Mus musculus: one gene and its partner. The protein of the gene in region 1 interacts with the protein of each later gene in a biochemical or structural test. Links are inferred from orthologs where the notes say so. Each region holds a gene or a part of one and is shown on either strand. Other genes may lie near its edges.

What was found.
Region 2: the proteins of Birc3 (region 1) and Ube2v1 form a complex in vitro, tested with the Homo sapiens proteins (2 studies listed by BioGRID). The link is inferred for Mus musculus from reciprocal best matches to the Homo sapiens genes BIRC3 and UBE2V1.

The regions. Positions count from the first base shown.
Region 1 is NC_000075.6:7,870,371-7,874,659, reverse strand, and holds the start of Birc3 (baculoviral IAP repeat-containing protein 3), read left to right. Parts: upstream 1-1,489; 5' UTR 1,490-1,525; coding exon of another isoform or gene 1,526-1,670; 5' UTR 1,671-1,837; exon of another isoform or gene 1,838-1,973; intron 1,974-4,289. UniProt on the Homo sapiens protein: Multi-functional protein which regulates not only caspases and apoptosis, but also modulates inflammatory signaling and immunity, mitogenic kinase signaling and cell proliferation, as well as cell invasion and metastasis.
Region 2 is NC_000068.7:167,629,206-167,633,290, forward strand, and holds the start of Ube2v1 (ubiquitin-conjugating enzyme E2 variant 1), read right to left. Parts: upstream 2,801-4,085; 5' UTR 2,757-2,800; coding exon 2,735-2,756; intron 84-2,734; exon of another isoform or gene 65-83; coding exon of another isoform or gene 1-64. UniProt on the Homo sapiens protein: Has no ubiquitin ligase activity on its own. The UBE2V1-UBE2N heterodimer catalyzes the synthesis of non-canonical poly-ubiquitin chains that are linked through Lys-63.

The DNA.
Region 1 (4,289 bases):
TGTTGCTCTCACAGGTGTGATTCTGCTCTCAGATAGAGGCTTGAAAGTAGGTGGAAATCTCTATATGATCACAAACGAAGTTCTTCTACTAGAGCTCCTGTTGGAACTGTGGTCCCTCTCAGCTGAGCCCACAATAAGGCATTTTATCTCTAGATTGACCAGGGCAGGTTTCTCACCGCTAGATTATGTCTCCTTAAGTCTGATGCTAATTGGCTGAAGATGGAGGAAAGCAGACAAAGTTTCTCTGTGTAGCCTGGCTGTCCTGGAACTCACTCTGTAGATCAGGCTAGCCTAGAACTCACAAATATCCATCTACCTCTGCCTCCTGAGTGCTGGGATTAAAGGCATGCATCACCACTGCCTGGCAAGAGTCAAGTTTTTACAAGAACATTGATATAGCTAAGCACCTTCCCTTGAAAGAGAAAAAGCTAAAAGAAGGAATTTTGTTTTTCTAGATTTATTCATCCTGTTTATAAAACAAAATTTGACAAGGAAAAACTAAACAAAAATACAAGAAAAAAAAAACCACTAAAACAGATCAGGACAAAAAAAACAAAACAAAACAAAAACCCCAGACTTTTAAAAAAACATATTTTTAAAGATTTATTATTATATGTAAGTGCACTGTAGCTATCTTCAGACACACCAGCAGAGGGAGTCAGATTTTATTACAGAGGGTTGTAAGCCATGTGGTTGCTGGGATTTGAACTCAGGCCTTTGGAAGAGCAGTCAGTGCTCTTAACTGCTGAGCCATCTCTCTAACCCTTTCAAAATATTTTTTAAAACGTATTTATATATTAAATATGTGTACAGGTGTTTTGCCTCACGCCTGTGCGAATACAGGTGCAGTGCCTGAAGAGGCCAGAAGGCCGCAATGGATCTCCTGGAACTGGAGTTACAGATGTCTGTGAGCCATCTTGTGAATGCTGGGAGCAGAACCTTGGTCCTCTACCAGAGCAGCAAGTACTTTTAATTGCTTAGCCACGTCTCCGGCCCACAATCACACCTTTCAAATACAAGAATCAGTGTGGTTCTAGCATTTTTAAAAAACAAAGTCTTACTATGTAGCCCAGGCTGGCCTGGAACTCACAGAGATCCTCCTGCCTCGGCCTTCTGAGTGCTGGGATTAAAGGCATTTGCTGCTACCCGCAGCTGTAGTTCTGATCTTTGAAATAATAAAAATAACCTGAAATTGAGATCCATACGTGTTTTGTTTTGTTTGTTTGTTTGTTTTTAACAAATGTTCCTTTCAGCTCTCTTTCTTGATAAAAACAAAAAGTGAAACCAGAGACTTTTACAGAGTTACTCGGGTTTTTTTCCTCCTAACGTCTTACTTTTTTAACTTAGCAGTTATATTCCGGACAGTTGTGGCTCTTTTTTTACAGTGAAGGACTTGGAGGCTGCAGGAGGGAAGCGCGGTGAGGGTGGGGTGGGGATAGGCCTCTTAAGGCGGAACTCACAGGCTGCACATCTGTTTTCAATGTTTTGTAAGAGCCAAGAGCCTTCAAGTAAAAACTTTCAGTAAATGACACGAAGAGGAGCTGGGTCCAGGAAGTCACGCACAGAAGAGCCACGGAAATCCCCAGCCAGGGTGGCCACCAAGGGTGAGGAGGAAGTGCGTCTGGTTTTCACCCTGGAGTTCCCCGGAGCCCTGGAGGAAAGCACCGCAGGTCTGAGCAGCCCTGAGCCGGGCAGGGTGGGGGCAGTGGCTAAGGCCTAGCTGGGGACGATTTAAAGGTATCGCGCCACCCAGCCACACCCCACAGGCCAGGCGAGGGTGCCACCCCCGGAGATCAGAGGTCATTGCTGGCGTTCAGAGCCTAGGAAGTGGGCTGCGGTGAGTACGCGCGCGCGTGGGGATCCAGCCAGGGTCCCCGTAGTGGCTCGAGGATCACCGGGGTGACTAGATCCGAAGGAGAACCTGCAAAACCCGTTTCTATGCATCGGTGGTCCTGCGGGAGGGCGACCTACAGGTTGGCCACGCTGACCCTGGCTGCCCCCCCTCCCCCCACCCCCTCCCCGCTTGCGGGAGCTCGACTTTCTGAGTCTTTTCCGGTCTCTGACTTTCTGAGTGAGGCGTAGGTGCCGAGAAGTTGCATTTTAATTAGGCTGCTGCGGGAGGCATCTGGGAGACTTGACACAGTGAGAACTCTGGCGTCTAAGGATGAGCTTGTGGAAAGCTCATGGTTGTTTTCTTGGTGGCCAGCTCAGGAAAACACTACAGCTCTTTCTTTTTTTTTGGGGGGGGGGGGGTGTTTCGAGACAGGGTTTCTCTGTGTAGCTCTGGCTGTCCTGGAACTCATTCTGTAGACCAGGCTGGCCTCGAACTTAGAAATCTGCCTACCTCTGCCTTCCAAGTGCTTGGATTAAAGGAGTGATGGGTGTGTCAGAGACCATTTCACACTATAGCTGACTGGGGCTTTGAACTTCGGAAAAATCCTCCTGCCTTAACCCCTTCAGTGCTGGGATTATAGGCCTGAGTCACTGTACTCAATTTCTCAGCAGTGCTCTTAATCTAGCCGGTAAATCTCTGGAGTCGTTTCTGTCTGCCCCAAGCCAGGTTCTGATCATCCGTTGTAAAAAGCAGGTGCCATTACTATCCCCTTTTCGCACCTAGGAAACTGAGGCACGAGTGGCTTTTCTTAGTCTCACTATGGAGCACTGGTTGGGCTGGAACTGGATAAGTAAACAGGCTGGCTTTGAACTCAAGGAAACACTGACGTCTACCCACCTCTGCCTCCAGGGTAATGGGATTAGGGGCGTGTCTGGCCACTTGGTGGTTTTCTTGCCCAACATTACACTGTTGGTGGAAAAGGGACTGACTCTCTTGAAATCCTGTGATGTGAGACTCCAGAGCATGGGAGTAAATTGCCACGAGGTCAAGTTAGCAGTAATAGGGGGAAATTAACAAATGAAAGTGCCATGAACATGCTGGGCACAGCCAGCTGTGCTAAGAAATTCTTCCATGCCAGTGTTTGCTGGGGTTAGTAGTGCAGGTCTGTAATCTTAGCACTTGGGAGGTGGAGGCTGAAGGATCAGGTGTCCAAGGTCAGTCTGGGCTGTGTGTCTCACACAACAGCAGCTAGGCACTGTAGCTGCAGCTACTACAGAGGTTAAAGCTTATTTCCTATTCTGTAGGAGATATGGTCCAAGGTGGAGGGAGGAAGATGGCACAGCTAATTGCTCCAGAGGGTGGGGGCACACAATAGTCTCTGGGTCTACTGGACATGGTAGTGTAAGCAGAGAAGAAACTGGGGTGCCAAGCTCATCTATAAGGAACCACTGGAAAGAAAGAGGGCTCCTACACACTGATGTGGACTAGGGCAGGGATCAGAACAGGCCTAAGAGGAAGCAAATTTTATTTTATGAGTATGGAGAGGGAAAGGTGCTGGCACACGGACTGGCTGTCTGTGTGGAAATGTGGTTCATAAACAAATGTTCTGCCGGCTTGCCAGACTCAGGAGTGGCTGGAGTAGAGACTTCAGCATTACTGTATAGAGGGACAAGGACCCTGCGGGGTTTGAGGAAATATGAAGAAGAGTCCTTCAGAGTAGTAGGAGGGCCCATGAAGGGGCACTTGTTTCTCTGAGGTGGCCAATAGACCTGTGAACAGAGGGCAGGCAAAGGAAGGCAGGCTGAGGGCCTCACCTAGTGAGGAACGGAGCCAGCTGAATGAAACAGTGATCTTGGAAGGACTGAGGGTTATTTCTACAAATTCGGCTCAGGATGTAGAGAAAACAATTGCGTCTGTTGCTGGGGACACAAACTAGTCTAACCTCTAAGGAAATCAGTGGAACAGACCCTCGAAAGGTTGAAAACAGAACCACCATAGGACTGAGCTCTACTGCTCCTTGGCAGGCACATGGAGGAGTATACCTGAGTACCCTGTCACTGCACTGTTCCTGTGAGGACACACCATGGCCAATACAACTTATAAAGGAAAGCATTTAACTGAGGCTTGCTTACAGTTTCAGGGGGAAGTCCATGATCACCACGTGGCAACATGCAAGCGGGTGCTGGAGCAGTATGTCTTAGTTAGGGTTTTACTGCTGTGAACAGACACCATGACCAAGGCAACTCTTATAAGGTCAACGTTTAGTTGGGCTGGCTTACAAGTTCAGAGGTTCAGTCCATTATCATCCAGGAGGAACACACTGGCATCCAGGCAGACATGGTGCAGGAGGAGCAGAGAGTTCTAGATCTTCATCTGAAGGCTGCTAGTAGAATACTGGCTTCTGGACAGCTAGGATGAGGATCTTAAAGCCCACACCCACAGTGACACACTTACT
Region 2 (4,085 bases), on another chromosome or scaffold:
CCTGGACACACAGGAGAGACGTCCCTTCAATTGTAGACATCTTGAGTGGCTGTAGTGGGCTCATCTCAGCTCCTCTCTGAGACCTGCGCCAAAATTACAACAGCGAACAATGTGGGAAGATGCCAGCAGCAGTGACCATACCACCTGAGCTGGGCGTCACAGGACTCCAAGGCCACACAGTGGTTTCCTGGTAACCAGGGCACAGATTAATGACCAGGCTCAGTCTACAGGCGGCCCAAGGCCTGAGCACACCTGAAGGTTGTAGCAGGGAGAGGAGACTAAGCACCAAGTTTAACGAAGGTCCTGCTTCCACTCTCACCACTGCAGTCTCCTGATGCCTTGGGGCTCAAGTCAGAGCTCACCATTCATCATTCTCTTCAAGGCATTCATTCATTCATCAACCAAACACTCAATGCTGCTCATAGCAGGCATCTGTTCCATGGCTCCCCCTTGCACTTAGTAAAGCCCAAAGTCTTCTCTCTCCATCTCATTACTAAGGTCCTTTGTTACGGGAGGGGCACAAGTGGAGGGCGGCGGGCAACTGTGGAAGCCGTTCTTTCCTCCAACCATGTGGAGATCAAGCTCAGGTCCCAAGGCTCGCCAAGGGCCTTTTGTCTGCTGGGCCACCTTACTGCCCCATGGCCTTTAATCTCATCTTTCAACACAAGTGTCCCCACCGCACCGATGGTACTTTCCCACGGCCACAGGCCTTGCTCTTCCCACCACTGGTCTCAGTTCCAGGGTTGGCCCTGAGAGAAGCCTGCCCCCTCCTCATCAGACTCGCTCATCACAGCACACAATTTTCTTCAGAGCACTTCCTGCTTTTTGGAGTCACTTTATTTCCATCCTGAATGGCCTTCTGTCTGGTTTGAATGAAACCTAAAGACAGTGCTCTGTCTACCTTGTCTGCTACTAGTAACAGGACACAAGAGGCCCCAGGAACCATCTGTGGACTAGACAGGCGCTGAGGAACGCCTGTTTCTGGGTTCCCTAAAGCCTTCCTATGCTATCTAAGCTGTGCTATGTGCGCTTCCTTCTTTTCATGGAGCTAGGGATGGAATCCAGGGCCTCCGACTTGCTGGTCAGATCACTCTAGCACTGAGCCTCACCCAGCCCAAACTCTTCTGGATTCTGTACACAGCAGCTGCTGCTGAGCTGCTGTTTCTATCTGCACTCCTGAGGCACGGGCAGGGCCTCAGAAGTTAGAAGTGGCTGTCAAACCGGATCCTGAGATGTCCTAAAGCAAGGACAAGCAGTGCTGACTGGTAGGGCCACCCCAGTACTGGCTGCCTGGCACCTCTCTGCGAGATACCCTGCATCCCACCCCAGTACAGCCTGTGGCAGACTGGGTCTTCCCAAGTGCCCACCGCCATGTGTTTGTCAGGAAATGGACTGACTTGGCTCCGCAGTCTTCTCCAGGACACACCAGGCACTGTGTGGTGGGTCACTGCAGGCAGCACCTCTCTGCTTCCCACCCCACAACATCTCCTCTGGTGGCCTCACAGCCCCAAAACACCAGTGCCTAGGCTGGTGGCCTGTCCTTACCCCTTGCTCACCTCCACCAACAGACTCCCGAGGATATAGCCCCACACCAGAAGGGAGCACCCACTCTCTCCTGAATCCTTCATTGGAAAAGCAGACTCCCATGCCTTCCCAGACCCCGGGGGATCTCCTTCACCAAACCCACTCCACCTTCTCTAGCCTGCCAGAGTCCATGGCTCATAATCAAGTACAGGTTGCCGGTTCTAAGGCAGCAGACCCTTCGGGTCTCCCCATCTGGCCTTCTCTTCTTAGCCCATCAGAGACCGACAAGAGCTTCTCCCCTAAGAGCATCCCCTTTACCCTCTTGCTATCCCTTCCATTTGATCCAAGGGCTCTCATTTCACTGCTCCTCTCCTACCCATCCAGATAATGGAGAGTTTCTGAGTTGAACCCACATATTTTCCCCCAATTCGCAGAAGGATTAGGAGTGACAGGCACTTCCTCCATCCGCTCCCCGCAGGAAGAGGTTTTTCTTCTCTAAAAGCAGCATCTGCGGGACTGCACCCCATCCCATTCTCCCCACTGCAGGAGCCTTCCCAATGGCGACACGCCCCAACAGACCCCACCCCACCCCCCGACACACACACCAGGGCTTCCTAGGCACCTGCTCGTGCCCATCCAACGCGGCGCTCGGCTCCCAGCGCGCCTTCTGAAACCTATCCCTGGTCTCTGCAACCCAGGCCTGCTCCCACGGCAGAACGCCCGGGCTCAGCCCGTGCAGGTGCCCGGATTTCCCTGGGAAGCGACCACCACGATGAGAGCAGCCCCGACCCTAAATTGACGCGGGGCCCCGGCGGCCTCGCCTGCGGCCCGCGAGGCTCCGTGCGTGTTCCCTAGGGTTGCGCCCGCGTACCCCCGCCGGGCATTCCCGGCTCCCAGTCGCCCGGGCCAGCTCCCAGCGGGACCTCGCCCGGGCATTCCCGAGCACACTCGGCCCCTCTGCCGGCCTCTCCCCCACCCCCCGCCCCCCGGAGGCGCCCGAGCCTCCGGCTTGGCCGCACCGCCCACGGCCCGGCTGCCCCCGCCCGGGCTTCCGGCCGCCGCCTGATGGTCCCAGGCCCGGCCGAGCAGCCAAACGCAGCCGCAGGGACAGCGCGGAGCCCTGTCCCGGCCACCATGGCCTCCGCTAGACCGGGACCAAGCCCAGGGAGCCCGCGCCCCGTCCGCCAGCACGCCCGGCGCCCCCGCTCACCCGAGCCTGTGGTGGCTGCCATCTTGCGTCGCTGTCGCTCGAAGGCCGGCCCCTTCTTCACCCCCCCTTGAGTTTTTCTCCGGGCGCTAGTGCGCAGGCGCAGGTGTAGGCGCAGCCGCAAACGGTGCCGCTGACGCCCGCTCGGGGTCGCAGGAGCCGGGCGGGAAGGGCTTTGCCCGAGTCTTCAGTGAGCGAGCATGAGGGCGGGGCAACCTGCAAGCCCCGCCCAGCCCGAGCGCGGGGGAGGCGTGCAGGTGCTCGGCTCGAGGGCCCCGGGGTGACCGTGCGCTTCCGGGAGAATAGAATGGGGGGGAAGGGCTGTGGAGCCCCGCGCCTGTTCCCAGGCTGTTTCCGTCCCCCTGTGTCCTCACCACGTAGCGAAAATGAAACCGCGAGAGATGAAGTTCAACTCAACTGCTAAGTAGCTGAGTCAGAATTTGACCCCAAGCCAGATGATCTTTGTTATGGGGTATATGGAGAAAAATAACACCGAAAGGCCTGAATGCGTCAAATTGTGGGCCAGTACAATCTTGTTTCCGGCACTGTTGCTGTTCTGGGGCCTGAAGCATGTAGGGACAAGGTGCAGCTAGGGGCTTGAGAACCACCAACCTTGAGACATGCATTCTGCTTGTTTGTTTGTTTGTTTGTTTGTTTAGGGGTTTTGTTCGAGACATGCTCTCAACTCAGCTGTCCAAGAGCCCACTATACAGAGGATGACCTTGGCTGTCTGATTCTTCGGCTTCTGCCTCATGCTGGGGTTGCAGGCTTGTGTTTTAGAGTTCTTCTTAGAGATGGAATTATGTGGGAGAACTGTGCTTGGTGCCGGACATGGCAATGTCTCCACGAAATGAGATTCTCTTCTCAATTGCTACATTCTAGTTGGACAGAGAACAAGTAAGCCAATATAAATAGATAAATATACATTTTACCTATGATAAGATAGGGGACAAACCTATAAAGGGCACCAGGAAGAATCAGAAAAGGCCTCCTGCAAAGGTCTGAAGACACTTGTCTGCATATAGAGTAAACCCATCACAAAGCCACCTTTGATGTGAAACCCTTAAGGGGACTTGGAAATCGAGGATGAAGTAGCCAGATAGGCTGCAGATTATACTGCTAAGAGGGACAGCAGAGGGGCAAGGAAGCTGGAGACATTCCTGGAACATTCCATTTGTCATCTGTTTGGTGTATTCTAGGTAGCTCCACTGCATTTCCTCTTGAGGAAGTACGTGGTAAGCTCAGAACTACCGTCCTGCAGAAGATGCACACCAGCCTAGGAGTCTGTCCCACAGAACAGAGGGAACCAGGTCTCTAGGTAAACTGGGAAGGGTGAGTGCACAATACACTGAGG